6 linked regions of the Rattus norvegicus genome follow. The protein of the gene in region 6 interacts with the protein of the main gene of each other region in a biochemical or structural test. Links are inferred from orthologs where the notes say so. Each region holds a gene or a part of one and is shown on either strand. Other genes may lie near its edges.

Region 1 (5,267 bases), about 110 Mb from region 6:
TACAAATCAAAAGGCTTTATTTCGTATTAAAATAAATAAATAACAAAAAACTACTCAGGCTTAGCCCCGCCTTCCTCCCAAGTCCAGGCTGGGAGGAGGGATTTCACTGGGAAGGGGAGAGGGAGTGGTCACATCTTGGCTGAGGGGTGTGGCCTCAGTGGAAGAGCAAGGCTCAGGCAGTGGAAGAGACGAGGACGACAGAGGAAGGGGTAGGTTTCTAAGGCGTGTCCATGCTCTGGCCCTGAAAGCAGGGGTAAGGTAAGGACCCAGCTGCTCCTCTGCCTGGGCAATGCGTCGAGCAAAGCGGCTTCGATCTCGTGCAAACTGCTCCCAGGGGCCTCGACGAGCAGCCTGGGCTGGTCCTGCCCAGACAGCAAGGAAATGGACTGTAACTTTCTCAGAGAAGTGCACCTGGGGACAGATGGACAGCGGCAAGAAATAAAAATCTGTCACGCAAAAAGTGCTTGGTATTTTAATAGTCACCTGCCTGCCTGCCCCTCTGACTCACTCAAGACACATGTTCAGGGCCACATGAGCTACAGCTATCATTCTTCCTCCCTCTTACAGGAGATTGCAAGAGAGTGAACACAGCCTTCCTGGCAGAGTTCCTATGCAACAAGTTGCAACACATGGCTCCCTGGAGTCTCCACCCCCAGCACACTTCCTTAGGGATTTTTCCAGACCACACCCCCCCACTCCTCTTCCTCCTCCTGACTCAGAATCTAGGTCCTTTGAATAAATTATATATTTAAGAAAAAAGGGCAGTATGAATCCTATTGTAATCCCAGCACTAGGACTATAAACTCCTTAGCCACAAAGTAAGCCACTTTAGGATCTAAGCTGCTAGCACTCACCTTTCTACCCTTCAGAGGAATCTCAGGGTCCTGATTCCGGGCGGGGGCTTTGAAAGATCTGAGCCGCTTCTGCAGTCGAAGGGGCAGCTTAGGGGCAGCCCAAGGTGGTGCTGGCTTCTGTCCAGGTAAATAGAAGGCCACCTGGAAGGGAGGGGGCTCTGCTTCTCCACATCCCTTGGTCTTCTCTACTGGTAGACAATGCTGGGTACTCTGGCAAGAGTCAACTGTTTCTGAGTCAACTGGGGCCACATTCTCACTGTCGTCTTCCTCTTCTGTGTCCTCTCCTGGGCGATAGACCCAGGCCTTCAGGAAGGCACTTGTATGGGGGGTGGTACAGCTCTGAGCTGTGTCTTCCTCAGCTGAATCCCAATCACCGTCATCTTCCTCTTCTGTGTCCTCTCCTGGGCGATAGACCCAGGCCTTCAGGAAGGCACTTGTATGGGGGGTGGTACAGGTATGAGCTGTGTCTTCCTCAGCTGAATCCAAATCACTGTCTTCTTCCTCCTCTGTGTCCTCTCCTGGGCGATACACCCAGGCCTTCAGGAAGGCACTGCCAGAACAGACAGAAGTCTCAGGTCCTCCTTCCTCAGCCTCTGCATTCTGACAAGGGTGACTCTGCCCTGCCCTGTGTTGCTCTGGCTTAGTTTCTCCCTCCTGCTTAGGCCTCTCTCTAGTGTGGTACTCCCAGACTCTGGAGTGGGAGCCTGAGGGTTCAGCCTTATTGTCTGTTCCTTTTTCCTCCGTGGCTCGATGTTCTGCCTCCCCTGGGCAATACACAGAAGTGCTGGGTTTATATCCTGGAGCTATGGAAGCAGCAGAGGCCTGGTGAGCCTTCTTCACGGTTTCTGTATCCTCTTCATCCTCAGCTGGACCACCCTCCCAGTGTGATGTGGGATAAGCCAGCTCGGACACACCCTCTTCTCTAGCCACCACCTCCCCAACTTTCTTATCTGCCCCTTGCAGGTGAAGGGGCTGTAGTGTAGGCAGGCCAGCTGTGTGCTCCACTTCTTGCTCTCTAAGGCCATCTTGTCCTGGCTTCCCATTATGTTCATCAATATCTGAAAGTCCCCAAGTTTTAGGAGGGGAACTTTGGGCTTCCACATCAAGGCAGAGCCTCTGGGCTGCTTTACTCCATTCAGGAGTTCCATTTCCTTCAGTCTCTCGGAGAGGTAGGTGATTTTCAGAGACCGGGGGAGGCGTCAACAGAGCATCAGCCTCTATCTGGTTTGCTCCTGCTACTGTTTCTGCCAACCAGGCCTCTGAGACCTCGGGCCCCCTCAGGCGGCTCCAGGCCCGGCTGAGGAAGCCCATCAGTGGAGACAGGAGGTAGAAAGAGTGGGCTTCCTTCCAGTGCAGGACATGCTGGGGTCTTGGGCTTGGGGCCATGTGTCTGGCCTAGAAAGGGGGAATTTGTTTAGAAGTCGCTCTGGAAACAGTATCAGGTCACAGCACTGAGTCATTGTTAAAAAATAGTCACAGCAGCGCGTGAATCCCTGCCTCAAATTCCTAATAGCATTGCTCACACCCAACTCCGCCACTTGGTTCTTCTCTCAACATTCACGTTCTACATCCTCAGAACCAAAAGCCCACACTCTTAAACCCTTTCCTTAACCCCAGCCACAGTTTCTGGCTAGCCCTTCTGAGACCTGTAAGCGTCTGGCTTTTTAATAACCTTTCTCTCCTCAAGCTTGTGCTCAGGCCCCTAAAACCTCCTCCTGCCTACCTCTTAGACCCAGGCTGCTCCTCCTGGAGTCCCTCTCTTTATTTAGCAATGTACAAGTACTGCAGTTCTAGTTCAGGACCCCTGCCCTTCAATGTAGAGACTAGACCTGGGCTCTCCTCTCTCGGACCAAATAAAGCATCCGGCTTTCAGTGCCGTTTCCTCAAATCTGGGTTCCTCCCCAGTCTGCCCCTCAGATCCCACAACACTCTCCTAGCCTCCTCGCCGAAGAAAGTCCTCCCCAGCACTCCCCCAAAGGCCGCCCCATCCCCCACTCACCGGCGGGCTGCGCGTCACCCCGGGGGCTGGAGGTCCGGTTCGGTTTGCCAAAAGCGGTCGTGGGTCCGGATTGCTCTCAAGGCCAGCGCGTTCATGTCGCCCTCAGGCGTGGGGCTCGGGGACGTGATGTCTCACGGGCTGTCGCAAAGGCTGTCCCGGCAAAGGGATGCGGAGTCGCGCGGGGTCTCGCATGTAATCTTCCACAAGCTGCGAACTGAGTCAATCTGCGCCAACACGATCACCCGGGAGTTTATAGTCTGACGCAGCGCTATGCTGACGTCACCGGAGAGGCGGAGTTTCGGAAGTCCCTGAGAAAGGTGGAGAGAGGAAAACAACACTGAAATTCTCGCGGAGATTCCGGGCCTTGTGAGGTCACCGTGGCTTCCCAGGCGTGTCCTTGGCTCAAATCCAGAGAGCCGTCAATCTCGCAGAACTTTTGAGCAAGCACGCCAACTTCATCAGGCAGTCACATGCCGTCCCATTCTCTTTCTCTTTCTCTCTCCCTCTCTGTCTCTGTGTGTGTGTGTCTCCTCTCTCTCTCTCTCTCTCTCTCTCTCCTCTCTCTGAGAAGCAGGGACTAACCTGCTACTGCCTCCAGAGTGCTGGGATTACAGGAGTGATTTGGTTGGGGAGAGGTTCGAAACAGGACTTTCTGACTATCCGTGGCTATCTTGAACTCACTCTGTAGACCAGGCTAGCTTCAAACTCAAAGGTCCGCCTGCCTCTGCCTCTCAAGTGTTGGGATTAAAGGTATGGGGCCACCACACCCCGCGGCTAGCAGTGAATTTTTATTAGAAGATAGCAGTGAAGTTTTATTAGAAGACAAAACACCCAATGTTTTAAAATATTATTTATGTCTTTTTTTTTTTAAATGTAGGAGTGCACTATCTGCATGTATATCTGCATGCCAGAACAGGGCATCAGATCCCCACCATGTGGTTACTGAGAATGAACTCAGGACCTCTGGAAGAGCAGCCAGTGTTCTTAACTACTGAACCACCTCACCAGCCCTTGTTTGTTTTTCCAAGATTAGTTCTGGCTGTCCTGGAACTCACTTTGTAGACTCGGCTGACCTTGGGCTCACTGGGATCTCATTACCTCTACCTCCTGATTCTGGGATTAAAGACGTGCACCGGGGTTGGGGATTTAGCTCAGTGGTAGAGCACTTGCCTAGCAAGCACAAGGCTCTGGGTTCGGTCCCCAGCTCCGAAAAAAAGAAAAAGACGTGCACCCTGGGCTGGTGAGATGGCTCAGATGCTCTCCCACACACCCCGGCCAAAAGAAAAAGATTTTTTAAATCTTTATTTTATATGTTTTCCGTGTGTGTGTGTGTGTGTGTGTGTGTGTGTGTGTGTGTGTGTGTGTGTGTGTGTTTGTGCGTATGTGTGAGTATATCATGTCTGGTGCATATGGAGGTCGGAACACGGGTGGAATTGGAGTTAGAGACAATTGTGAAGCTTCTCATGGAGGGTTATAGGAACTAAATTTGGGTCCTCTGCAAAGAGTAGCAAGTGATTAGGCCCTGACCCATCTCTCTGGTCCCTTGGCTGTTTTTGGTGTGTCTGTCTGGGTTTTGTTTTGTTTTCAGACAGGATTTTTCTGTGTAGCCCTGCCTGTCCTGGAACTCACTCTGTAGTCCACGCTGGTCTTGAACTCAAAGAACAGAAGTCCACCTGCCACTTCCTCCTGAGTACTGAGATTAAAGGCATGTGTCACTATGCCTGTCCAGTCTGTCTGTATTGAGCAGGGTCTTACAGTATAGTCCACACTGTCCGGGGACTCACAGGGGAAGAAGGCCAAAGAATCTTTGGGCAATTCTCCTCCTGTGTACAGAGAAGCAGTGACCCCACCCAAGGCCTGCCTTCATGGAGTCTCCTCCTTCTTTTTTAAAAACGCATGTTTCTGTTTCCTTTGTTTTGTTTTTTCTTTTGTCAGGGACCTGTATTGTTTTTCCAGGAGTGTCTGGAACTTACTATGAAACCTGGGCTGAACCCGTGTTGCCCCAGCTGCCCTGGTACTCTCGGCAGTCCTACCCAGTATGGAGGGTACAAGTGTGATCTCAACAGATAGTGTGTGGAGAACACCGCTAAACAGACTCTTTGTCTTCACACACAGGTGTCCATGTTTTTTGAATTTATACAAAGGTTTGGCTTATATAATTTGAATTTCTGATTGGCCTGCATTCTCATGGGGGTGGGGCTCTGTTCAAATCCCAGATATAGATCCAGAGATCCAATTCCAGCCTTCCCTCCTGGTGTGTGTGTCTCAGAGACAGACAGAGAAAGAGAGTGTGTGTAGCCTGTATGTGGATCCCAGAGCCTCACACCTCACACACACTGAGCAATGCTCTCCTGGAGCTACTCTCTGAGCTCCGGTCTATAGCCTTCTTCCTCAAAATGTACTGAGATTCCATA
Region 2 (5,350 bases), on a different chromosome or scaffold from region 6:
AATGGATCTGATGCCCTCTCTGATGTGTCTGTATAAATAAATAAATCTTAAAAAAAGAAAAGAAAAGAAAAGATTTATATGTTCTGTGTATGTATAGGAGTGCTTTGCCATATGCACGAGGTCAAAAGGGGGTTTCAGATCCCTTGGAGCTGGAGTTATGGGCACCATGTGCATGCTAGTTGGTAAACCTGGGTCCCCGACAAGGGTTGTAAACTGCTGAGCCATGTCTCTACCCACAAATCACTGCAAATTTGAAGCCAACATGGTCTTATATATCAAAGCCCTGCCTCAAAACAAACAAATTTCGGAACCTCACAGAGGAAACTAAAATGTACTAAAAGGTTAGGAGATGGGTTTGCTCTCAACAAGGGCACAAATTAGCTTCTAGGTTGAAATAGACATAAGTTTTTGTTGTGGCTGTTTTGGTTTTATTATTCCTTTTCTTTTTCTGATTTTGGTTTTTCAAGACAGGGTTTCTTTGTGTAGCCTTGGCTGTCTTGGTACTCACTGTGTAGACTAGGCTGGCACTGAATTCAAGGATCTGCCTACCTCTGCCTCCCATGTGGTGGGATTGAAGGCATGCACTACCACCATCCAGGAAAATATATAGAATGTTAATTACAATGATAGCCCAAAACACCCCCAAGCTTGCTAGACACTGGCTTTCAGTTGCATACATGGATGGACCTCCTAAGAGGTTTAATAAAGAACAAACTGACCCAGAAATTCCACTACTAGTCACATACGTACTGAAGAAAACTACATCTACACACAGGCTTATACAAGAATGTTCAGGGCAGAGCGTGATGACTCATACCGTCATCATTAGCTTGTGTGAGGCAGAGGCAGGCAAGTCTCTGTGAACTCAAGACCACCCTGTGATTCCAGGACAGCCAGGGCTACATAGTGATACCCTGAGGAAAAAAATAGTAAATACAATAGTATATACTAAATTCTTAAATATGGGTTAGCCACAAGAATATCACAGAGAATAAAATAAGCCAGTCACAAGGGTCCATATATTATGATTTCAGTCCTGTATGCATGCTTGGTGCTTTGTTTTGTTTTTGATGGTTGAGATAGGATCTCCCTAAGTAGCTCTGACTGTCCTGGAACTCACTCTGTTTACCAGGCTGGCCTCAAACACACAGAGATCTGCCTTCCTCAGCCTCTAAATGCTTGAATTTTTAAAGAAGCACAGAGAAACTTTGACTAAATAAATACATAAAGCAAGCTACATAAAGAGACAGTTTCCAACTTTTAAAAAAAAAGGGAAAAATACTGCAGTACATAACTTGATCACGAACAGCCTCGTTTGTTGCCCTGTGCTGATGTGACTGCTTGCATACTGAGACTTCACGTTTGTGCCAGAAGCAAGAACACCATAAACAAGGTCACATGGCACAGCACGGACGAGTGATGGCCCAAACACCTCAGATTCATGACATTTGATTTTTTAATTCGTTTTGGCCACATATTTGGAAGCCTTTACTCTTGTCAAATTTTTCAAGACTCATTCCATATGGAGTCATGACCTACAGTTTGAAAAGCTGAGATCGGGACTGGAGAAATAACTCAGCAGTTAACAGTACATGATATCCTACTACCCCAATTGGATGGCTTACAACCACCTGTAACTACAGTTCCAAGGGATCCAATAAGGGATCTAACACCCATGGCTCCAAGGGCCCCTGTACGCAAATGCACGTGTACCCCTACGGACACCTAACTGCAAATAATAAAAGTAAATCTTTGTGGGTTTGGGGCATGGGGGGATGAAGTGATGGTTCAGCTGTTGAGAACAATGCAACAGTTGACTGCTTTCCCAAAGTACCCAGATTCAAGTCCCAGGACCCAGTAGTGGCTCACAATCACCTGTAACTCCAGTTCTGGGGATCCGATGCCCTCTTCTGACCTCTCCATTTTGGTCTCTGAGGGGAACAGGCATGCACAAGTTACACAGTCATACACATAAATCTTTTTTTTTAAATGTCTTTAAATAATCATGAATTGGAAGTTAGTCTGTGTTATGAGGCTAGTGTGAGCTACCTTGTGCTACAGAGATGCTAGAAATGGAGTCCAAAGCCTCCAGGACACCAGACAGGCAGTCTACTTATGAGCTGTAATTACAAGTGTGTTGTTAGTCAACAGATGTGGATGCTGGGATTCCATCTGGTATTCCCTCAAAAAGGAGTGAGGGTTTTTTTTGTTTGTTTGTTTGTTTTTTCTTTTTTTTCGGACCTGGGGACCGAACCCAGGGCCTGTGCTTGCTAGGCAAGCACTCTACCACTGAACTAAATCCCCAACCGGAGTAAGGGTTTCTTAAGCATTGAGCCATCTCCCTGGCTCCTTTAATACACAATCTTTCCTTTAAAAATATTTAATATTAACTTTTTAAACCACGATAATTTGAAATTACTTGATAATTACAAAATCTAAGGCTCGCGGACTACAATTAAGAGGACATAGCACAGGTTCCACGCGTTTTTCCGAAACACTTTTCATGAACGACTCACTTTGACAACAGCCACCTCAGCTGGTGCTTTTTGTCATTTTCCAGGCTGATGCTCAAGGCCATCAGCTAACAGGTGGCAAAGCTTCCACTAGCGTTCAAACCTCTATACACCTTCAGGAACTACACAAGAAGAGGTTTCATGGTGCAAATGCAACGTGGGTTCAGCTCTCTGCTTGGTCACAGATCAGTGTACTCAAAGAGCCTTATGCCCCGCCACACCCCTTAATCGGACGTGCATCTGCGCAGGATAGTAAGCATAGCACAGGCGGGAGAATCACCCAGGGGAGCTATCCACCAGGGGGAGGAGGACGTATAGACCCTGAAGAAACAGCCAAGACTGTGAGCGACCCTACGCACGCTCTGCTCGCACTTCCACACAGGGACCAGAGCCTTCTGGGTAATCAGCATCTCCTGCACGTCTACAGAAGAAAGCGGAAGCTCCGGCTGAGCCGTCACAGGACAAAGCTCTAAGGCACCCGCCCTCTGCCAGCTTCAGAGCAGGGGGACGAGCCAGTCAAAGGCTGCGGGCGCTGGGCCCAGCCTCGTACCTGAGAGAGGTGACTCCTCAGCAGACCCCAGAGAGGTTGTAGCAAAGGCCCGCAGTCTGGGGTTTCGCGCCCTGCGTCTGCGGCCCCGCCCCCATCTCCACAGCAACGCGGCCCGCGCCGGAAGCTGATCTGTCGCGTTTAGAGCGCGCTGCCTTCCGGGAAACAGAGGCTCCGCTTCCTACGGTTTTCTTGGCCGGAAGTATCGGCGCTTCTTGGAAGCGTGTCTCCAGTTACAACTCCTGCACCCGACCGGTGTGAGACCGAAAAGTGTCTCTCCTCATTGCGTGGTGGCGCACGTCGGTAATCTCCGCATCAAACAGGCCAATTAGCCGAATCTTTAAAAACACAGCTTCCAGAAAAAAATATGAAGTTTCATTCTAAGAACAGTGAAAACTAGTGGGTGGGTGTCTGAAGACGAAAACCAAGGGGCAAGAGATATGACTCAGAAGTTAAAAGCACTTTTGACTCATCCAGACTCCCAATACCCACATGGTGGCTCTTAAACGGCTGTGACTCCAAGTTGCGCTCTCTTTGGACCTATGTACAGGCAAAACACTCATACTCAAAATTTTAAAAAGAGTAAGCCCAAGAAATACGGGTTTTGTCCTTTTACAAAGGGTGATTTTGTAATTCAAAGATTTAAAAGCAGTCATTTATGGCAATCATCTGTGGGAGGCTAAGGCAGGGGGATCCCTGCAGGTTAAAGACAACTGGCCTATTGAATGAATTTTAGTATTGCCTAGGCTGGAATGAGACTCAGAATGGGCAAGGAAATAGTGTTTAAATCCAGTCTGCTGAAATGACAAGATGGCCCAGCAGGTAAAGGTACCTGTCTCTGAGGCACAGGACCTGAGCTCAGTCTCTCGGATCCCTATGGCAAAAGAGGACTCACTCTCATAAGTCATTCTTTGACCTCTGGCAACAAGCCATGGATATGCACACAAAAAATAAAGGTAATAAAAAAAAATCTGGCCTGCTGGTGTATGCCTGTACTAGCTACTCCGGAGGCTGAGTCATGGGGGGAAATCACTAATTTTAAGATCACTGTCAGAATTTGGAAAGACTGTCTCAAAAACAAAAGAAAGGCATGGCGGGGGATGGGGGTGGGGGCGTTGCAGAGGCATGTGAATCTCTGTTGACTTTAAGATTAGCCTGCTCTCCTGCTCCTCAGAGTGAGTTCCAGGATAGCCAGGGCTACAGAGAAACCCTGTCTCCAAAACCAAAAAAACAACAAAATTATTGGAGTCAGGTGTGGTGGCACATACCTTTAATCTCAATACTGGAGAGGCAGAAGCAGGTGAATATGAAGTTTCAGGCTAGTCCTCTGCATAGGGAATTCCAGGCTAGCCAATGCTACAAAACAAGACCTTGTCTCAGAAGAACCAAAATAAATAAATAAATAAATAAATAAATAAATAAATAAATAAATAAAATAAAGTTATAGAGTATACAAAATAAAGTATATAGAGAAAACCAACCTTTGGGGTATAACTCTTACCTGAAGCTACAACTTCCAAGTATTGCTAAGGTAATTAGATTAATTTCTTTTTTTTTTAGATTAATTTCATAGTCAAAATACTAGAACTATTTTTTTTTTTTTTTGGTTCTTTTTTTTCGGAGCTGGGGACCGAACCCAGGGCCTTGCGCTTCCTAGGTAAGCGCTCTACCACTGAGCTAAATCCCCAGCCCCTAGAACTATTTTTAATTTACTATAAACTAGTCTTACAAGTAGCTTCACAAAATTATATGTTTGCTATATCCGGGATAAGAAATTATGTGTATGTGTACACGTGTCTGGTGGGGGAATGTAACTATGAGTGCAGGTGCCCTGGAAACCCAAGGCATTGACTCCCCTGGGGCTGGAGTTAGAAGTGATTCTGACCTGTAGTTGCTGAGAATCAAGCCTGAGTCACCACAAGGGCAGTCAGTGCTGAGCACTCTCTCCACCCTAAGCACACTCTCTGGATTTCAACTGATTTGCAGATGCTGTCTTCGCACTGTATGCATTCATCAGCCTCAGCTCTGACAAACTGAGATAAGAGATCAGCAGTATTTCCGTGTGAGATACAGGAAAATCCGTCCTACTAGGAAGAAAAATAATAGGGTGGGCTACTTTCCTATTGCTATGATGACTCTGGAGAGACAGACCTACCCAAGACGTCCTTAGAGGCCCTGATGAAAGGACAAAGGAAACTTTAGTTTTCTGTTTCTATCCAGGAACAGACTTGCAAGATTGTCTGTTGCCTCAGAGGAGTCAAGATTGTGGTTTCAGGGGACTCAACTCCCA
Region 3 (5,251 bases), on a different chromosome or scaffold from region 6:
ACTCTTGCCTCACCTTTATTTTGAAAATCTCTTAAACTCCTTAGGAAGAGTGTTTGGCTTTTAATAAAGATACAAAATTACATTCACCACCCTGTTCCTAGAAAGCTGGCAGCTCTGTAAGAATCAGATTCTCCAAGGTTCCCTAGAAGGCCTTGTTTTTCATCTCCCACATAAGGCCTTCTTTACTAATCCCCTGCTCACTAGAGATCAGGAACCCCAGTGGATGGAACATTCAGGTCCCAAGGTAGGTGTGCTGCAGAGGTACCTGGCAAACTGCTTAAAAGATAAAAAAGACGTGTGGTAAATAGACATGTGGAAGAGGCCCTCCCATTCAATCAGAAGTCCAAGCAATGAGAATCCACACCCAGCAGAAAATTAGCCCTGTTGCACCCAAGTCACTATAGGACAGCAGGACAAAAGGCTTACAAACTGCCTAGAAACTCCACACTTCAACGCAGGACTTTAAATAAAAAATGAAAAGTATATGAAGAAAATGTCAAAGACTTGACTTTGAAAAAGTTGGGGAAGAGCTAAGGAACCAGGCGCCCAGTACTGCCCTCACGGGCGTGGCTCTCAACATGCACCAACTGCCCCAGCACTCAGCAGGGAGGAAGAGGACATTCCTCTCCTCAACGCTTTAATGGAATTTCTTTTTAGGAAGCAAGGAAAAAGAAATTCAAAAAGGTGACTCTTTGGGAAAAAGAAAGGTTGTGAAATGTAATACCAGAAATGTTTTGCTTACCAGAAACCGTAGCTTGACTCCCCCTGCCTCGAGTTTACAACTGCAGCCTCCTTTCCTAAAGATTCACTTCTCATCCTAGTGCCAACATACAGGAACTAAGCAACTGCAGGTGATGGCACTGAGCACAAAGTTTATCCCCAAACTGAGAGGTGAGAATAAGGATGGTTTACAAGAGAGTCCTACAAGTACCCACCCTCCCCACCAGACTGACACAAAGCAACCAATATTCAGGAAGTACAAGGACCCATCCTGAGCAGCATGGCACACTGCAGCTCATCAGGCCCAATTGTCTACTCGTGTTACAAGCCCTGTGTCTTGCCCCAGTCTCTCAGAGCTAAAGCAGTCGGGGTTGGATTGGTTTTCACCCCTATCAACTGAAGCAGGGAATAGGTCCAAGCAGTTGTGATGAGAGGAAGGTGAAAATCAAGGCAATGGACTGTTAAACACAAAACCTAGAGCTACACAAGGACAAGGACAGCCTCCCTCCCTAGTGTTCATTAAGCTTTTATCCCTGTAAGATATTTCATAAAAGATAAAAGAAAACAAGAAAAAAACTATTCTCCCCAGCAGCAATCTGCAAGGGGAGAGAAGGCATCTGCTTGGGGGTGGAGTTTTCAGAGAGGAAGCAAGCTGATTACATCACCTTTCATAGTGGCTCCTCCCCCTTGACCAAGCTTCTAGGGAAGCCCTAAGCTGACTGGCAAAAGAGAAAAACAAAGGAGGGACGCCATTTTGTTATGGAGAGGATTCAAAACTTAAAAGCCGGCGGCCAGATCTGCCGGCAGCTTTACTTACACTATAAGGCACTAAGTAAACCAGAAGTCATCCCCCCGGCCACCACCCTCAACTTGACCTATCTTAATTAAGTCTAAGAGCCTACTACTGAAAATAAAACCAATTAATATACAATTTCTTGCGGGTTAAGAATATGAATTTGCACCTCAAATTCAATTTGCTACTACACCGACCACCCCAATCCTCCCTATAAAGGGCAAGGAGGAGGATTTGGACCCCTCAACAAATAGGACTGAGGTGGGGGGGGACACAGGAGAAAAATGGGTCAAGACACAACCTGCAACGCCGCTTGCAAGACAAAAGGACAAGGAAAAGTCGCCATATTTGAAGCAGGGAAGAAAAAAGTTCTTTTAACGACACAAATCTTCTAGAAAAGATAGCATTCAAATGCACTAATGGCTTTTAAAGTTATCTTCCTGAGTTCCACATTTCCCAACCTTTCCACCCTCTTAGCTGTATCCACCACCCACTAAAAAGTATCAAGTTAAAATGTTAATCATTTTGCCTTTAAATAACCTATGCAAGCTGAAACAATCACAAGACATTCTTTACCTCCCCAAATGTTATATTGTATGTACTTGTTACTATGATTATATTTTGCCCTAAATTTAAGTGTCTTGCAATCTTTATTCCTAGATTGCCACCTATTTTAACCACACAATATATCCCAAGCAAATTACATTAAAACTGAGAGGATTTAACAATCACTTTAAAGACATAGCCAGCTAATATTTCTCTCTGCCCATCTCCTTACCCTGCAATCTTTATGTACAGATTGCTTATTAATCTGGCAAATTGAAAGGCGTTCTGCTTGTCTCACACACAAAGAAGTGGGACTTCTGGGCCACAAGATCCACCATCTTTTGTATGTGAGCTCATTAACCCTTTTGAAGACTGCTAACCAGAGGAAGGTAACCATTCCTCCTTATAATAGCAAAGGCTTATGCTTTGGCAGTCTGGAAATTTGCTGGATTATCAAGGGTTAACCGTCAAAATCCTCACTGGCTGGCCCTCCCTTCACCCTCTCCTTGCCTGCTCCACAGCAGGGAAGAGGCAGGTGGTAGGGGAGAGAGAACAAAGACTGTTTAGACCCACAGGACCTTTAATGGAGATTTAAGAGACCCGATTGGTCCTTCTCCAGTACTCTACGTTTGTTCTATGGTCTCATTTCTTCCTCTCATTATTTTTGGTTTCACAACGGGAAACGTTGATTTCTTGTTCAAGGCTGGTTTTTGAAAATTCGACACTTACTATCCAATTTTTTTGCGACGTCAGCACCTCGGGCTCAGGGGGGAGGGGTAAAATTTTGGAGGAAAAAAAATAAAACAACCAACCAGGACCCAAACTCAGTTACTTGTGGGGCCTCATTGGATCAAAAAGTCTCTTAAAAAAGTAAAGACCAACTCAGTTTTCATTTTCCCCCCACCCAACTCCATTAGGGAGAGGGGGTCGTTGAAAAAAATTCTGAGTGGACTCCAAAAAGGAAATGCTGGATGAGTGAGATTGGGTGGGTTTGGGTAGGGAGGGTGGTTGATTATTTTTGAAGTTATGTGGTGACGGTCCTTCGGCCACAGATTTCAAGTCCCAAGCAGCGTGGGCTGGTGGGGTGGGCAAGATAGGTGGGGAGGGGCAGAAGACACAAGTGGTTGGGCTGGTGGCTGCTGTTTTCCCTTTCCCCCCTCTCTCAGGATCCTTTCAAGGGTTTAGATGTTGCTGAGGCTTGTTTGTTTTCCTGATGGCCGGCCTGTCTTTCTCCGAGAAAATTCAACCTGGGGTAAAAGGAACACAAAAGGAGAAAGATGTCATCAGTACGGGTCGCCTTTAAACGTTTCAAAATTCCTTGTTGTCCCAGGATGCAGCCGCATTAGGTAAAAATGCGGCTGCCCAGTAAATCCAAAAAACACCCCACTTCCCCGGCCAACCGCTCTCGGCAAAACGTTACCCTCAAAGCGACGGAGCACCCAAACTTACCTCTAAACGAACCCCAGAATGGCGGCCGCCCGCTCGGGCGGAGTCTTTTATACCCGGCCACCGCCCAACGCACCCTAACGTGATGGAGAACCGCCCTCGTCGTGACACATTGTGCGCGAGGGGAACGCTGATTGGCCACAGTAAAAGCCGGGTCGCCCGCGGATTGGACGTCCCTCCTCCACTTTCCTGGAGTCCCTTCCCTTAATCCCCTCTTCCGTCTCCTTCGGATCACCTCGGAGCCAGCGCGTGATCGCCGTGTCCGGCACCTCCCCTTCCTCTGCCCCCAACACTTCCGCCCGGGCAAACGTGTCTCACCCTCGGTTGGTCGAAACGACCGTACGCATGCGCACTGGGAGCACCTTAGTCAAAATCGCAATCAAAATTGCTTTCGTGTTAAACACTAACCATGGAATTTATGAGCCATCGTGACTGGTCCGGGAGAAATGCAATTTTGAACGCTAGTTCGATTGTGACGCAGTTTAAATTCGCGTCCCTCCGCGGACCCCGCCCTTTGACGCTTCCGTCCTTAGGCACGTGAGCTGCCGCCTTCCGCCTTGCGGGGCAGGTCCTTGGCCCCGCCCTAGTCCTTGTCCGGCGCATGCGCAGTCGTTCTTCCGGCAGGCCGTACGTTGGATGTGCGACAAGATGGCTGCCTCCTTGCGGCACACGCTGCTAAGGCTGTATCCTTCACTCTTACGAAGTTCCTATGTAGCTCAGGTAAAACGTGGAGGAATTTCTCTGCCGACCGGTGGTGTCGATACTTTCAACCTTTGCTGCATTACGATGAGTTAAGGGGCACGGGTCTTCCCATATGTTTACGTGTTAGATCTGCACCACCCTCTGTTCCCACGGCGCGCGATTTCTTATATTTTTGGTTGTGAGCCTAGCCTTTAACGGCTGAGCCATCTCTCCAGCCCACGGCGCGCGATTTCTAAATACTGAGCGTTCGGGTCAGAACCAGGGTTACGTGTCATCGTCTCCCCCCGACTACCATTAGGAAAAAGAACTAGGTGGTGGGGTTACCCCAGTGGAAATGAGCAATTCATAACTAGATCGTTAGTACCTGAAGTGGTACCCAGAAAGTGTTTTTGTAGCAAAGGGCCTATTTTAAGATTTTCCCCCCCGTTGTTCCGGAGACAGTCTAGGTTGATCTCATAGGTGCTCCCTGAGCTTTCTACCTCTGGTTCCCAGGTTATGGAATTAAAAGCAAGATACACCACTCCTACTCCACCTTTTCACACATCATTTTCTTATCAGAGCATGCGTGAGAGTCTAATTCTGCTCTCTAGATTGAGATTGCCCTTTAGCCTGAGGTACTCACCACCCTGGAGGTTCTTGGCAGGGCAGGGAGAAATAGGAAGGCTTGTCCGGACGCCACTCCCTAAAATGGGACTACAGAGTGGTGACAGAGGTTACCACCGAAGTAATGACAGGCTTGGTGGCTTTAAAGCTAGCGTTAGCACTCACATTTGTTTTGCCCTGTGGAATGTTGACGCAGCATTTTATGAAACTGGTCACCGAAGTGACTTTGGATTTTTCTCATCGATTTGAATCACCCCTGCTCCCCATGAATCTTACTTCCAAAGGTTTGGACATATTTTTTCCCAGTAGAACCAACTAATGCTCAAGCAAGCTCAGATCTTAGTATGCCAAGGTTTTTAAATCGTTACATCCCACTAACAACCTCTACCTTGCTGGCTTATCCTACAGGATCTGATTGGGGAGCCTAGGTAGAGTGGTTGT
Region 4 (4,312 bases), about 84 Mb from region 6:
CTATTAACTTATTTGCATTTCAGGCTTGGGATGATGTAGAACGGAAAGAGAAACCTAAGGAGGATGCATATGAATATAAGAAGCGTTTGACGTTAGACCATGAGAAGAGCAAGCTAAGTCTTGCTGAGATTTATGAGCAGGAATATATCAAACTCAACCAGGTAAGGTGACATCAAGGTTGTGACACTAAAGGAGGATGAGTGTTCAGTCAGTCCTGAGCTAACCTAGCGCTCAGGTAGCTGTCTCCCAGCACGGATGGTGGGAAGACAGCCCATAATGTTCCCACTGAGTGTAGTCAACTACTGACGTCCCAGCAACTGCTTTGACATTTGAAATAATTGATGTAATTTATTTCTTTATGAAATGATCTCCCATAGGCTCTTTTTGTTTGTCTTGTTTTTTAAATTCTAAGATTAATTTCTAGTTGGATGGCGAGAAGACCATATCCTGGGGAAGACTTATTTCCTCACCTGGGTTTATTGGAATGAGTGCTAATGACATATGTTATCTGACTTGGGCCACAGGCAGAGCCAGTCACTTCTTACTCATGTGGGTGCCCCCCTCCCCACCTTCTGCACCTCTACTATATCTTAATTATGACAAATAGAAGCAAACAAATACCATCTTACCTTTCAGAGTATGTATTTGGTGCTAGGGGAAGAGCAAACATAAATAAAACAGCCTGACTCTAAACTCAAGTGACTGTCTTTTCCATATCAGTGTGAATAATCTGAGCAAACCTTGAACAAATTACATTCACAACACAAAATTAAACATTTTATTTTACCTAGACAGATTGTCAGACACTCCTAAAATGCTAGGACTCAGACTAAAATAAACATATTTTGTGATGGCGAGACTGTCTTGAAAAACCAAGAATAAGTAAATGAATAATTGGGAAGCACTTAGTGTAGTTTTAAGCAAGTGCCGCCTGTTTGTAGCTCCCCAGTCCTTGCTCAATAATCTACTGCTTCCTCTTCCCCCCCCTGCTGTTACACCCTAGTTCTGTGAATTTGCCTGTTGTGTAAATGAAGTCACGTAATTTGTGACTTTTATTTAGCATTATGTCTTTATGTTGGGCAGCATATATGAGCGCTTCATTTCTACTTTATTGCTGGATAGTGTTCCATTTATACATGGGCCACAGTTTCTTGATCCACTTTCCAGCTGAACATGTGGACTGTTCTCACCTTCTGGGTATAGGAAGTCCCACTCTTAAGTGTATGTGCACGTGTGCGTGCATGCGTGTATCTGCTTTAGTTTCCTTGGATCCATATCTAGGAGGGAAATGCTAAGTCTAACCTTCCGTGACCTGCTAAGCTTGCTGCCGCTATGGCTACATCGTTTCACTTTGCTACCAATAATTCCCAGGAATCCAATTTCTTCATCCTCACCAACATCCATTAATAGCCCTTAAACTTTGGTCCTACTTTGATTAGCTTACCTTTTGTTGGGAAATGCCATCGGCATTGTACTGTTTGTTCTAAATTTCAGAGGTAATGGGTACTAATGTGCACCCTTGTGGTCTTTGGTAGGCACTGGCACCATCATAGTGCTTATACCTGCAACTTTACTTTTGGGACATTTCTTCTTCTCTCCTACCTTTTACAAACAAGGTAACACTATGTAACCCAAGCTGATCTTGAACTTGTAGTACTCTGGCCTCCGTCTCCTGAGTGTTGGGAATTACTGTACCATCATCCCACAAAACCATTGTTTTTGCTTTTTATTTTGTTTGAGACAAGATCTCATTGTAGCCCTGTGTGACCCCAAACTCACAGAGATCTGCCTGCCTCTGCCTCTTGAGTGCAGAGATTAAAGGCGTGCGCCACCGGGATGGCTAGAGTTGCTGGGCGGTAAAGCTGTGGTTCTGAGAAACTGGGGCACCTTCACTGTCTGTACTGTTTTTTCTGTGGTACAGTTAAGCTACTTCATCTAACGTTGGCCTTGCTCATTTAGCAAAAAGCTGAAGAAGAAGACAATCCAGAGCATGTAGAAATTCAGAAGATGATGGATTCTCTCTTCCTAAAACTGGATGCCCTGTCAAACTTCCACTTCATCCCCAAACCGGTATGTGAATTTACAGTGTGGTAGAAAAAGTAGCACGTGTGAACTGAACAGCTCTGAGCTCTGGAGAGCTTCTTCTCAGTTGGTGTCAGGACACACAGCTGCAAGTTACAACAGGGCTTCTGTAAGGGACGGTCACTTTGTTCCTGGGTTAATTCTGCCTTCCATCCTGCTGCAGCCTGCTCTCCAGCAGGCCCCTGGTCACCTTTAGCCCTGAGCCTCACTGATTCCTCCTCTCCTGGCCCTCAGTTGTGCTTAATTGTGTGATGGTGTCTCCCTCACATTGATTGGTGGCCTCTGCAAGTCGTATTAGGTCCTGGGCTTACGTCACTTTCACTGCCCAAACACTCACTGTCTAACTATCCCTTTAGCAGATGAGCACACTGAATGTGGGAGGGGCAGAACTAGCACTGGGCTCTTGTGTTCTGCACTGCCTAATGTGCTCCAGCCAGTCCCAGACCTCTCAGTCTCCTTTCCAGCCTGAGCCTTTCCTGGGCTGGCTGAGATTCTGCTGACTCCTTGGAAGCCCATCTACTTGCAGCTGTCTGTAGTTCCCTGAGACGGGCTTGAACCATCATGTTGGTGCTTGCTCACAGGTTGCCCATTGCTGTCCTCTTGACTGTTATGAACTAAGGACTAGTCTAGATGCAAGCATGCAGAGGCCAGAGGGAAGCATCAGGTGTCTTCCTCTATTGCTCTCCAACCTATTTCTAAGACAAGACCTCTCCACAGAATTAGAAGGTCATTGTTCAGATAGACTAACTTGTCAGTGAGCTCCCAGGTTCTGCCTATGTCCTCTTCACCAGCGATGGACTTAGCAAGCCTGTGCGCATATTTTACATGGAGACTGGTGATTTGAATTCAGGTCAACTTGCTTTCATACCAGTCACCTGATCCCTGACCATTTCCGCAGCCCCTGCTTTGCCAAGGTCTAAAGGATTGTCAATGTTTCACACTTGAATCTAGGAATGCACCTGGCTGTTACAGGTCTTTTAATATTTTCGTTTTCATATGTGTGTCCATAGTTTACACACTGTCTCTGCAGACATGAACTGTTCACCAGCTGCCATGTTGTATTGTATTTTGAGATTTCCTCCCTATTTGTTTTTGACTGTAGGGGAGCACAGTATTTCTCATAATCTCTGGACAGTGGCCTGCTTGACAGGGATTGTTTTCACATTCCACAGTTCTTCTTGCTTAGGGTCTGGGCTCCTGTCCTCTTCTCATGTGGTTCTGCTCTTATGACATTTCCCCGAACAATGTCCTCTGTGCCTGGCTTAGACACTGGTATCTTGAAATGACAGTAGCTATACAGACCCATATACAGCCTCTCGAAAGATTGAGCATATTAACATTCCTTCATATACATTATGTTAGTTTTATAAATAGTTTTGTACCATTTCATGCTAATATATGAAGATAGATTTCTAGTAGCTTAAATAGTTTGTATTTTTCTCATAAGCATTTTTTGTATATCTCTGCAGAGAGCTTAGATTTGTTTCAAAACAAAAAGCCATGTGATAATTAATCACCAAGTTTTATTAAGTACATGGAATTGCTTGAGAATGCCCACATAGGTGGCATGGAGTACTGTTTTGCTGAGGTGGAGAGGTGTGGATATGTAGGTGTAAATGCTACTGGGATGGCTTTGATGTTGCCTGTTGTCAAGGTCATTCCAGTCAGCCCAGTGATGGATGGATGGATGGATGGATGGATGGATGGATGGATGGATGGATGGGTGGATGGATGGATGGATGGATTTATTTATTTTTAGTGTGTGATTTTAAAAAAATTCTCCTTCTCTCAGTTTACCACCCACCTCCCCTCGCTCGCCCCGAGATCCACCTCCTTTCCCATCTCCCTGATCCCAGGGATCTCAGCCCAACACAGCACTAGATGGAATAAAAGTAGTTACAGATCCTCACATAAGGCTGGGCGAGGCAACCCAGCAGGAGGAAAGCATCCTGAGAGCAGGTGAAGGAGTCAGTGATCAGGGACATTCCTGTCCCTCCTCACCCTCCCCCCTCCCAAAAAAAAAAAAAAAAACACCAAGCCAGCAACCCTAACATGTGCAGAAGAAGTCAACTCTATAAAAAAAAGTTTGTGAGGTTGGAGATTTAGCTCAGTGGTAGAGCACTTGCCTAGCAAGCGCAAGGCCCTGGGTTCGGTCCCCAACTCTGAAAAAAAAAAACAAAAACAAAAAAAAAAAGTTTGTGGCCAATGCTTGCCCCACTTCTTCTCCCCA
Region 5 (5,172 bases), on a different chromosome or scaffold from region 6:
TTTACTTATTTGCATGGCACACATGTATAGGTTGGAAGTCGGTGCTAGGTATTTTCTTCCCTAGCTCTCCAGCTAATTTTCTGAGACAGATTATCGTATCAATCTGGCTACCCCAGGATTTACACTGGCTTTCATGAGTAAACGCCTGAACTCAGGTCCTCACGGGTACATGACAAGCATGTTACCGAGGGAGCCATTTTCCTAGCCCCGCAGTTATTTTTCATTTATTTCACGCATACTTATTTCACATGTACACCATGTGTGTCTGTGGTGACTGTAGACTGTTGAGGTTAGAAGACCGTGTCAGAGGCTCTGACACTAGAGTAATGGATGGTTATGAGCCACCACACGGGTGCCAGGAATGGAATGCCAATTCTCTGCAGGAGCGAATGTTCTAACCTGCTGAGCCATCTCTCCAGTCCCTCTACAGTCCACAGTTATTTTATTTTTCTGAAGGCCTACGATATCCCACAAACTGGCCACGATGATGAATAGGGGAAAAAGATAAGTCATCAGGAAGTACCCTGGGGTATTGGGCCTGTTCTCTTTTTTTTTGGGACGGGGGTGGGGGGGCTGTTCTCAAAGGGTTCTGAGAAGCATGCTCTCAGGCTGTCTCCAGTCCAGGTGTACTGTACTTTGCTTTTGTCTCCTGAAGGCTCTCCTAAGGCTCCATATTTTCACCTATGGCTTAGAGGACAAAGGGAAGCTTACAGTGCCTGTGGGGGAAAGGATACAAACCACAGAGTTCATACAAACAAAGCTATCTGCACATAGCTGAGGACAAGGTCATCCGTTCTCAGTATAGCTAGTAGAGACCACTCCTGGCTCTGGGAAATCCTTTCTCAGAACAAATAGCTTTTCCTTCCCTCTGTATCTAAGCACTATCAGAGGGGCACAGATTTTATAATTTTAGGGGTGACAGGGTGGTGGGAGAGATCATAAAGGAGGATTTCTCTCAGAAGTGATACTGCTAGGGCAAAATTCTTTGTAGAACAAGCCTGAATGCAAGGGGGGAGGAGGCAAGAAGAGTGTGAGTGGTGTGCTCAGCCACAGGGGTTTAACGGACTACTGAGGAATTAGAAGAGCAGGTGAGGACACCAGGTCTGTCAGACTGTGGCCTTCAAGGGAAGCAGTGGGAAGATGAGATTTGCTTTAAGAAAATGACCTGGGCTGTTTGTGGAGGGCAGACTAAAGAGGCACAATGGAAGCCTGGGGCAAATGCCTTTAACCCCAGCACTCAGGAGACAGAGGGAGGTGGACCTCTGAGAGTTTGAGGCCAGCTTGGTCTCCAGAACAACCAGAGCTATAACACTGAGAAATCCTGTCTCAAAAAACCAAAACCAAACAAACCAGGCAATGGGGGCTCACAACTTTAAGCCCAGCACTTGGCAGGCAATCTGAGTTCGAGGCCAGCCTGGTCTAGAGAGTGAGTTCCAGGAAAGCCAGGGATACAGAGAGACCCTGTCTGGGGTCGGGTCGGGGCGGCGGCGGCGGGGGGTGGGGGGGACCCAAGTAAACAAAAGGCACAACAGAGTTAAGGGAACGGATGGACCAGAAATCTAGGTAAAATAAAGGAACTTCTGGTTAAGGCAGAGTAATTCAAGTTAACTGAGAAGGACAGAAGGATAGTGTGTGTGTGTGTGTGTGTGTGTGTGTGTGTGTGTGTGTGTATGTAAGATGGTGGTGAGAAAATGTGGGAAGAATGAGCAGCTGAGGAGGAGGAGCAGCAGGAGAGAACAGGTGTTTGGAGGGAGGAGCAGATGCCATTGTTGGTACTGAGGCACTCATGGGACAGCCAGGTGGAGTACCAGGCTAGTGACACTAATCTGAGCGGAGGATAGCCAAGGTCCACCTGGGCCAGTAAGTTAGGTTTAGGGACCACCAGCACACGTATATAGGAAAATTGACAATATGAGAGGAAACTGAATTTCTGGGGCAATCCTTAACAGGGCTGGGGTGGGGGTGGGGATGGGAAATGCAGCTGCCAAGGCGGCTCAGCTCGGTAAACCTCACTACCTAAATCTGACCTCTGGATTCCACAGTGGAAACATAACTTTTGGAACTTAAAAACTTGGGGTTGGGGATTTGGCTCAGTGGTAGAGCGCTTACCTAGGAAGCGCAAGGTCCTGGGCTCGGTCCCCAGCCCCAGAAAAAAAAAAAAAACTTTTAGTTTTTATCAGACGTCTCAAAAAGTCTCCTTTCTTGGCAATAAGGTCTTGCTTGCTCTGTGACCCTGGCTGCCCTTAGCCTCACGATGCTGGAATTAATGGTATGTACTGCCACCTGGGACTGATTTCAATCAAAAACCATTTAAAAAAAAAGATTTAGTTTAGGTATGAGTAAGTAGGTAGTTTAGTGGGAGGTTTGCCTGCTTCTATGTTTATGCACCACGTGCATGCCTGGTGTTGGTAGAGGTCAGAGGGGGTGACTCCTTTCCAGGAAAAGGGTTCTGAGCTGCCATGTGGGTACTGGGACTTGAACGGCTGAGCAATCTCTCAGGCCCCCCAGACTTCAATTTTAATCAGATTTAGCAACCCGTAACTCAAACTTTAGCCAACTGGCTGCAACCTGAAACCTTCACAGTATGCTGCAGTCTAGACTTTGCGAATTCATTCAGGAGTTAACAGAATCTATTCTGGGTCACTTAAAATAAATCTTTGCAATGCATTCCACGGCAGTTAAAATCCAACCTCCCCTCCCTTTCCCCAAAGCCAGCGAAGTGACCACATTGCCCCCAGGTTCAATTTTATCTCAACACGCCCTGCGCGCCAACTTACAGATAGATTTCTCTGGCTCAGGGCACACTTAGCGTTCTTGCGTCTGCCTGCCTGGCTTCCTCCTGTCAAAATCTCAACAGAGCACAGGTGGCTTCCTTTAGAAGGACTTTCTCCTGCACTTTTCCACGCTACTGATATACATTCCCGCATTCACACGTGCTCCACTACACTGCCATCAGTTCTACCACCACACTGCCAGAGTTCTTCTCAGGGCTAACTCTCTAACGCACCCCAGCGCCTACAGGTACTATCCATGGAACACAAACAAGAAACACAAACGAGCCTCGGCGAACTGGGCCAGCGGTGAGCTGGGACTAGCGGTCAGGAGCTCTGCCGCACAGCCCGTAGCAGCCGCACCCGTGCCCACTGGCGCGACCCTCGCCGCGCGCAGCGGCGCGGACCCAGGCCCGCACCTGTGTCGCTCTGCGTCCTTGCGCTGAGATACTGCCGCAGTTTCCTCACGGCGCGGTCGCGGACGCCCTTCTCACTGGAGGCCAGCCGCTGTGCGAACTGGAGCTCGGTAGACTGCATGGCGGGAGCCATCGCACCCGCTTCAGCATCCCCGGGCTGCGCGCGTGCGGCTAGCCGCCGAGCGATCTGGATTGCGCCTGCGCAGGCGCCGCGGCGCGTGGGTGATGGCGTCACCGGTGCGCCGCTTGCCGCGCGCCCAGGGAGTCCGCGTGGCCCCTGTGCGAGTAGATACGTAGCCCCGCTACTGAAGTATATCCTGTGGGTGGTCCAAGTTCTGGGCGGGTAGTTAGGGTCAGATCTCCTCCGGCAGGACGACTACGGCTAACCTGATGCAGTTCTAGAGTCTAACCACAGCTAACAAAGGTCTGTCAGGGAAGCGGCGGTCCTGCCACCTCCATTCACCCGGTGTCTGTGAACTCCGCGGGCTTCCCTGAGCAGACTTGAGACCCAGAAGGAAGGCCATTATCCTGGCATCCCGAGGCTTACAACAGCACAGGGACAACTTCCACTCTCCCACCCTTCAGCGCCCCGTTCCCCTCAGGACAGTGCCTTGAGTCTTGATGCAGGCACGCAGCATTATAGAGGGAATGGGCCCTCTTCCAATGTGCTGGGACGAGTGCAGAGGGGGCGAGGAGACCCTTGCAGCGTTCTAGGACAGGTTCGGGATTTGGAGAAGAGAGAGAAACCCGTCCCTGAAGCAACAAGGGCACTTACAGAGGTGCGGTGTAGTGAACAATCCGTTCCTGCAGCGAGCAAGCCTCCCTGTCGCATCTTGGGACGGGTGCAAACTTGTTGAATGGGGAGTCAGCAAACCCATACCCACAACGACTGGGTCAGACGCAGGGATGTCCATTGGAGAGGGAAAAATTTTGAGGGTCTAACAGGGAGGGAGCTTGGCTCTGTCTTTAAGACCTCTTGCATTCAAAACACACAGTTCTGAGCAGTAGGTAGTGAGTATTGCTACAGTGAAACACCAGGATCAAAAAGCAAGCTGGGGAGGACTCCCATTTCCGTATTACTGTTCACCATGAAAGGAAGCCAGGACCAGATCTCAAACAGGACCTCAAAGAAGACAGGAACCTGGAGGCGGGAGCTGATGCAGAAGCCATGGAGGGATGTTGCTTACGGCCTTGCTCTTTGGTCAGCCTGCTTTCTTATAGAACCCAGGACCACCAGCCCAGGGCTGACTCTACCTACAACAGGTGGGGTCCTTCCCCATCAATCATTAACTAAGAAAATGCCTTACAGGTCTGCCTACAATCTGATTTTATAGAGACTTTTTTTTTTTTTTATTGAGATTCCCTCCTCTCATGGCTTTAACTTGTGTCAAGTTGACAAAACCAGAACGAGCAGGGAACACACTAAACCAATATGAAAGAAGTCTTTTAACAGTTATGCTTACTTTAGGGACATCCAAAACTCTAGGTCATCAAACATTTGAGAATTATTAGATTAGTATATTCTTCCAAGCTTTAGTTATTTCATTTTGAACCCCGCTCCCCCACCCATGTAGCCCAGGCTAGATTTCCCTTGCTGTGTAGCAAGTTGGTCTTGAACTCCAGCGTCCACCACCCAAGTGCTGGGACATAGGCATGTACCACTACATCTAGTTTCAAACCTCAGTTACCTAGCTAAAATAACTCTTCTGTGCATGCGAAAATGCATCCCTTAACACAGAAGCACTTGGCCAAGGGACGACGAGGTTCTCCCTGTGCGGTTTTTCAGTTTGTAGGTTTGGTTCTAGCATCCTCTCCGTAAACAGGGAAGGACGGATTCTGTTTGACACTCAGGCCTCATTTTGCAGGTCACAAGTCTGAAACACTGAAGGAGAAGAGCCGCAGTAGAGTCTGGTTCCTTCTCATCCCTGGGTCCAGGGGCCGAGAGTGAAGCGCAAATTTGGCGAGATTTGAACCTCGCGGCTTTC
Region 6 (5,113 bases):
ACATGAGTGTCTCGTCCACACTCATCATGGCGCCAGCGTTGTCAAACTCGCCACAGTAGTTGGGAGCTGAGAAGAGTGTCACCAGCTGCCTCTTGGCAAAGAACTCATAGCCATCTTCTACAACCTGGGCAAGGACAGGAACCATTTGGTCTCTTAAGTTAAGCAGCTAGCCATCCCCACAGCCTGCCCCAGGCCACTAGCCCACCTGATGTGCTCTGCAGATGAGGTCCAAATCATGCTTGTGCAGGAACTTGGCTACAACCTCGGCCCCAAAGGTAAAGGAGACTCCACGGTCATTCTCGCCCCAGCCTTGAACATCCTTGTCAGGGTCAGACCACAGCAGATCACACAACAGGCCCTGGTCAGGCACGTCCGTGGGCCGCATAATACGTCTAATCTGCTCCATGGATTGCAAGTCTGGAGACAGGCCTGGGGTGGTAGAGTGAGAATAGTGTTCCTTACACCGAAAAGCAGGTACTATCCCATGCCCAGAAAGGTCTCAGGGGTCAGCTCCACTTTCCCCACCAACGCTGGGTTCATCTTTTGGGCTCCTTAAGTTTAGGGAAACAGAGTTCATTATATTCCTGCTGGCCCCATTTCTCTATGTGGCCTTGGCTGTCTGGGAACTCCCTTTGTTTTTTTTGTTTTTGTTTTTGTTTTTTTTTTTTTAGGAATATGTTTTTTCAGTTTTTTTTTTATTGGATATTTTATGTATTAACATTTTTTTTTCCCGGAGCTGGGGACCGAACCTAGGGCCTTGTGCTTGCTAGGCAAGCACTCTACCACTGAGCTAAATCCCCAACCCAGGGAACTCCCTTTGTATGCCACCGCCACCTGGCCATCCCTCAGCTTTTAGAAGTACAAAGAGTACGGGCTGGAGAGATGGCTCAGCGGTTAAGAGCACCCGACTGCTCTTCCAGAGGTCATGAGTTCAATTCCCAGCAACCACATGGTGGCTCACAACCATCTATAAAGAGATCTGGTGTATCTGAAGACAGCTACAGTGTACTCATATATAATAAATAAAATAAATATTTAAAAAAAAAAAAAAGAGTAGACCTCCGTGGGGGAAGGAGATGAATGAGTTGCCTATAGCATGCTAAATACCACAACAGGAAAGCGCAGTCGAACTGGGGTGTGTAGCCAGGTGAGGTGGTGCAGGCCTTTAGTCCCATCACTTGGAAGGCAGAGATAACCAGAACTCTTGTGAGTTCCAGAACACAGAAAAACCCTGTCTCAAAAACAAACTGGGCTGTGGGTGACCTGTAATAAGTGACAGCCAAATTCAAGGAGAGCTACTCCAGGAAACAGGAGAGTTCTGTTAACTTTCCAAGGCCCCTAAGGATATAGCCCAAGCACAGACCCCACAACCATCCTGACCTCCGTGGCAGCAGAAGATCTTCTCATCTACAATGGCTGCAATGGGCAGGCAGTTGAAGCAGTCGGTGAAAGTCTTCCACAGTTTGATGTTGTATCGTCTCTTGCCTGCACAGAAGAAAATGGCTCGTAGGGAAGACCACCCACCACACAAAACCCAGTCTATAGTTTTCTGTGCACTCCTCCAGGGTACTTTGTGGGTTACTCTGACAAAGTGCAAAGACTAGAAGGCAAAGAAAGCTTATTACAGTTTCCTTGCTCTGCCCTCATCTACCTTCCAGAATTCCAACACCTGGGTCCACAAGAACCTGAACTCCAGTCTGGCCTAACCTCAGTGTCTGGTTTATTCATAACATGCACCCTAAATGCTTAGTAAGGGATGCAATAGAGGGAAGTGTCATCGGGCAGGGCTGTGGAGGAAGCTTTAGCAAACGGGCAGCCCTGCATGTACATCCATTCACCAGGCCCTTCCTTGGTGCCATGGATAACAGACAGCTTGGTTGGGGCTTTGCAGGACCCATCATCAGGGTTCTCAGCACTAGAACAATTTAGGGGGCCCATGAAGTGCAGGAAATGTAGTTCTGGGCAACCAGCAACATTCAAAGCACTCACATTCATCATAGAAGCCATAGATGCGGTTGATGCTGGCACACTCATGGTTCCCACGTAGTAGAAAGAAATTCTCCGGGTATTTGATCTTATAGGCCAGCAACAAGCAGATGGTCTCCAAAGACTGCTTTCCCCGATCCACATAGTCCCCCAAGAAGAGGTAGTTGCTCTCTGGAGGGAAGCCACCATACTCGAACAGCCGTAGAAGGTCATAGTACTGGCCATGGATGTCACCTGGGAACCAGAGAAGACTAGGTAGGTCCAAGATGTAAACTTGAACCCAGGGCCAGCAACGGAAACACAGGTACTGGGGCAGGAGTAAGGGGCTATTTTGAGGAAGCTAAGGGGTTCTGAGCAAGGGCTTACCACAGATCTTGAGAGGCGCCTCAAGCTCCAGAAGAATAGGCTGGCTCAGGAAAATCTCCCGGGATTTGAGGCAAAGACCACGGATCTCGTTCTCTGTCAGCTGCACATTCTTTCCAGGCCGTGAGCCCTGCACTGGGTACGGAATAGGGTCTTGGGACCCTGACCTCGCAGACCGAATGTCATGCGCCCCTCCCCAACACCAGCAACTGTTGCAAGGGAGCCCCCGCTGAAACCTTTGCATCAGGCCTTCAAAGGCAAGATACGACCCCTTAGCCACCCGGAGGCCCTCCAGAGACACGCCTGTGCTCAGCAGCCTGTCAACCGAAGCTTCCTCGCCTCAGAACCCCTTCCCAGCTAGCTTCGCAGGAGTCTCACCCTGAGTCTCGGCCACTCAAGCGTCCCCGGCCTCGGAGCGCGCTCCAAAGCCTAGGCGCAGGGAGTAGGGAGGGCTGCCGTGGCCATAGAACCTCACGGCCTGTCCCCGCCCAAGCGACGCTAGCCCCCGAGAGCGGCGGGCCCGCCCGCGCTCTACTTCCGGACGGCGATGGGCCCAGGCTCGGCGCGCGCGCACCTTCCCTACCCCTACCCACCTTCCAGCAGGCGCCCGATGATGGAATCCAGGTTGAGCTTCTCGCTGTCGGACATGGCGGCGCCGCCGCTCCGGCCCACCAGCTCCGGGCCCTCTCCTGCCTCCCGCCCTCTTGCAGCCTCCTTCCGGCCTGGCTCTCCTTCCGCCCTCCCCAGCCCGCCCTCGGCCCGCCGCCCCGCCTCTTCGGCCGGCCGCCCCGCCCTGCCGCGTCCGTAGTTCCCTGCTCTCTAGCGCCTCCCCTGGACCGGAAGCACTGCAGCCGGGGAGGGCCTCGGGCGGCCGGGCGAGGCCTGGCAGGGGTGGAGGGCGGGGTTTGTAGGGCGGAGTTGGGTCGGCTCCACCCAGGAGGAATCGCCCTGCTGCGTTCTGATGAGTTAGAACCGGAAGTACTGTAGAAATTGTTTTTCTCTTTCCAAGTCTCTTCCCACCCCAGCCCTGCGTGGGATTGTGGTGTGAGCATGTTAATCGCTGACTTCTCAAACACTGTAAAGTAATTCCTCGAAGTGCAGAAAAAGGAACTAAGGCTCAATGACACTGAGAGTGAGCTCCAAACCTCCAGAGCCTCACATTCACCTCGGTCTTTATGGCCAGACCCATGAACACCTGCTACTGAACTCGAAGCAATGTTTTGGTCCAGGTTGCCTTGGTGCCTGCTACGTCAGGTTTTTTTTTTCGTTAAGTGATGTAATACTATTTTATCTCCTTCCTGTTGTAAGTCCTTTGTAGAATGCTTGGACTTGTCTAGCATGTGCAAGGCCTGAGGTTTTATCTCCGGCTCTGGAAGGAAAGTAAAGAAAGAAAAGGGGGGAAAGGTATTATTTTTAAACAGTAACACATTAAAGAACCCAATGTATCATAAACCTGTAATTCCAGTGCCTGAAATTCCAGCACTCAGGAGTCTGGACACAGGAGGATCAGAAGTTCAGGGTCATGCTCAACTACATAGTGAGTTCATCTCCTGCCTGGGCTACGTGAGACCCTTGTTCCCAGACTGTACCCTTTCACTCTCAAAAAAGAAAACCCAGGACAGTGGGTTGGAGTGGTGGGACGACATTAAAGCATAATTATTACTGGAACCATGAGTTGGTTTTACACGCAAGTAACCTCAAAACCGATAGTGGCCTGTCATCTTCAACTTGGGCAAGTCGGGGACTCTTCACACCTCCCATCCGTGATGGGAGGAGTCCGTGGCTCAGGCACTAAGGCAAGCAGGAAGAACCTCATAGAGGAAGGGGGGAGTCCCCCCACCAGGGAGGGGCCCCCAATAGGCTGCTGAAGCTGAGACTGAGGAGGAAGTGAGAGGAGGAGGTGAGGTGCAGCAAGGAGGTGAGCTGGGCTAGGGGCCAGGCCTGGGGTGGGTCTCTACACAGAGACTTGGTCTTTGTGGTACCTCAGGGACTACCTGACTCCCCCGTGACTGAGGACTGGTTCCTGGAACCCCAGCCTCAGTCTGGCTGTTCACACTGGCTCTCTATATGTCTTGCAGCCTGTGACACTGGGGTCTAGGGCAGAATGGCCCAGGCCCTGGGAGAGGACTTGTTGCTACCGTCAGAACTACAGGATGATTCTAGCTCTCTAGGGTCCGACTCAGAGATCAGTGGGTCCAGCCCATATCGTCAGGCTGACCGATATGGCTTCATTGGGGGCAACTCAGCTGAGCTGGGGTAAGTGAGGCATGGGTAGGGGAGATGGTAGGGGACAGAGGCTGAGGACTGAGTTCTGGAATCAGGCCTGGCCTCTAGGGTCTTGCTGTAGACACCAGCCCAGAACTCAGCTGTGACATTCCAGTGTCACTCCTCAGGTTCCATGTGGGATTAAGGTAAGAAGGGTGGTGGAGGGAAGGTCTTTTACATCTCTATTATCCCCCGAGGGTCTGCACTTTCTCTTCAAACTGAACATCTTTTCCCTTTTCATCTCTGGCCCAAGAACTCCAGATGGGAATTCGGATGTCTTTCATTCTCTTCTCCAGGTTTACCTAATACAGTTAATCAGATTCAGACAGAAACTTGACACATCACATAGCAGATCAGAAACAGAAGCAGATTCAAACTCAGGGCTTCTGCCTTCCAGTGCAGGGCACTGTCCTGCCCACCCAGCTTCCCTGTGACCCATCTCTGTCTCTGTTTTAGAGGACAGCCAAACAGACCTTCTCTAAATACGCGTCTCCTCATC

Evidence for each region.
Region 1: the proteins of Ppp1ca (region 6) and Ppp1r15a are reported together in a solved structure, tested with the Homo sapiens proteins (2 studies listed by BioGRID and IntAct, with this or other methods). The link is inferred for Rattus norvegicus from reciprocal best matches to the Homo sapiens genes PPP1CA and PPP1R15A.
Region 2: the proteins of Ppp1ca (region 6) and Sfi1 form a complex in vitro, tested with the Homo sapiens proteins (2 studies listed by BioGRID and IntAct). The link is inferred for Rattus norvegicus from reciprocal best matches to the Homo sapiens genes PPP1CA and SFI1.
Region 3: the proteins of Ppp1ca (region 6) and Ppp1r10 form a complex in vitro, tested with the Homo sapiens proteins (2 studies listed by BioGRID). The link is inferred for Rattus norvegicus from reciprocal best matches to the Homo sapiens genes PPP1CA and PPP1R10.
Region 4: the proteins of Ppp1ca (region 6) and Mphosph10 form a complex in vitro, tested with the Homo sapiens proteins (2 studies listed by BioGRID and IntAct). The link is inferred for Rattus norvegicus from reciprocal best matches to the Homo sapiens genes PPP1CA and MPHOSPH10.
Region 5: the proteins of Ppp1ca (region 6) and Rrp1b form a complex in vitro, tested with the Homo sapiens proteins (4 studies listed by BioGRID and IntAct, with this or other methods). The link is inferred for Rattus norvegicus from reciprocal best matches to the Homo sapiens genes PPP1CA and RRP1B.

What each region holds. Positions count from the first base shown.
Region 1 is NC_086019.1:105,136,528-105,141,794, forward strand, and holds the start of Ppp1r15a (protein phosphatase 1 regulatory subunit 15A), read right to left. Parts: upstream 3,070-5,267; 5' UTR 2,854-3,069; intron 2,250-2,853; 5' UTR 2,241-2,249; coding exon 855-2,240; intron 412-854; coding exon 61-411; 3' UTR 1-60. UniProt on the Homo sapiens protein: Recruits the serine/threonine-protein phosphatase PPP1CA to prevents excessive phosphorylation of the translation initiation factor eIF-2A/EIF2S1, thereby reversing the shut-off of protein synthesis initiated by stress-inducible kinases and facilitating recovery of cells from stress.
Region 2 is NC_086032.1:82,269,610-82,274,959, forward strand, and holds the start of Sfi1 (protein SFI1 homolog), read right to left. Parts: upstream 3,103-5,350; 5' UTR 3,064-3,102; intron 1,932-3,063; exon of another isoform or gene 1,876-1,931; intron 1-1,875. UniProt on the Homo sapiens protein: Plays a role in the dynamic structure of centrosome-associated contractile fibers via its interaction with CETN2.
Region 3 is NC_086038.1:2,838,884-2,844,134, forward strand, and holds the start of Ppp1r10 (serine/threonine-protein phosphatase 1 regulatory subunit 10), read right to left. Parts: upstream 3,536-5,251; 5' UTR 3,509-3,535; intron 3,307-3,508; 5' UTR 2,789-3,306; intron 1,035-2,788; exon of another isoform or gene 743-1,034; intron 1-742. Other genes in the region: Mrps18b (28S ribosomal protein S18b, mitochondrial), read left to right, coding at 4,142-4,225.
Region 4 is NC_086019.1:127,362,342-127,366,653, reverse strand, and holds part of Mphosph10 (U3 small nucleolar ribonucleoprotein protein MPP10), read left to right. Parts: intron 1-23; coding exon 24-161; intron 162-1,959; coding exon 1,960-2,070; intron 2,071-4,312. UniProt on the Homo sapiens protein: Component of the 60-80S U3 small nucleolar ribonucleoprotein (U3 snoRNP). Required for the early cleavages during pre-18S ribosomal RNA processing. Part of the small subunit (SSU) processome, first precursor of the small eukaryotic ribosomal subunit.
Region 5 is NC_086038.1:10,121,029-10,126,200, reverse strand, and holds the start of Rrp1b (ribosomal RNA processing 1B), read right to left. Parts: upstream 3,377-5,172; 5' UTR 3,321-3,376; coding exon 3,191-3,320; intron 1-3,190. UniProt on the Homo sapiens protein: Positively regulates DNA damage-induced apoptosis by acting as a transcriptional coactivator of proapoptotic target genes of the transcriptional activator E2F1.
Region 6 is NC_086019.1:210,912,528-210,917,640, reverse strand, and holds the start of Ppp1ca (serine/threonine-protein phosphatase PP1-alpha catalytic subunit), read right to left. Parts: upstream 3,066-5,113; 5' UTR 2,998-3,065; coding exon 2,943-2,997; intron 2,485-2,942; coding exon 2,353-2,484; intron 2,221-2,352; coding exon 1,990-2,220; intron 1,486-1,989; coding exon 1,381-1,485; intron 430-1,380; coding exon 206-429; intron 125-205; coding exon 1-124. Other genes in the region: Tbc1d10c (carabin), read left to right, coding at 4,454-4,605. UniProt on the Homo sapiens protein: Protein phosphatase that associates with over 200 regulatory proteins to form highly specific holoenzymes which dephosphorylate hundreds of biological targets.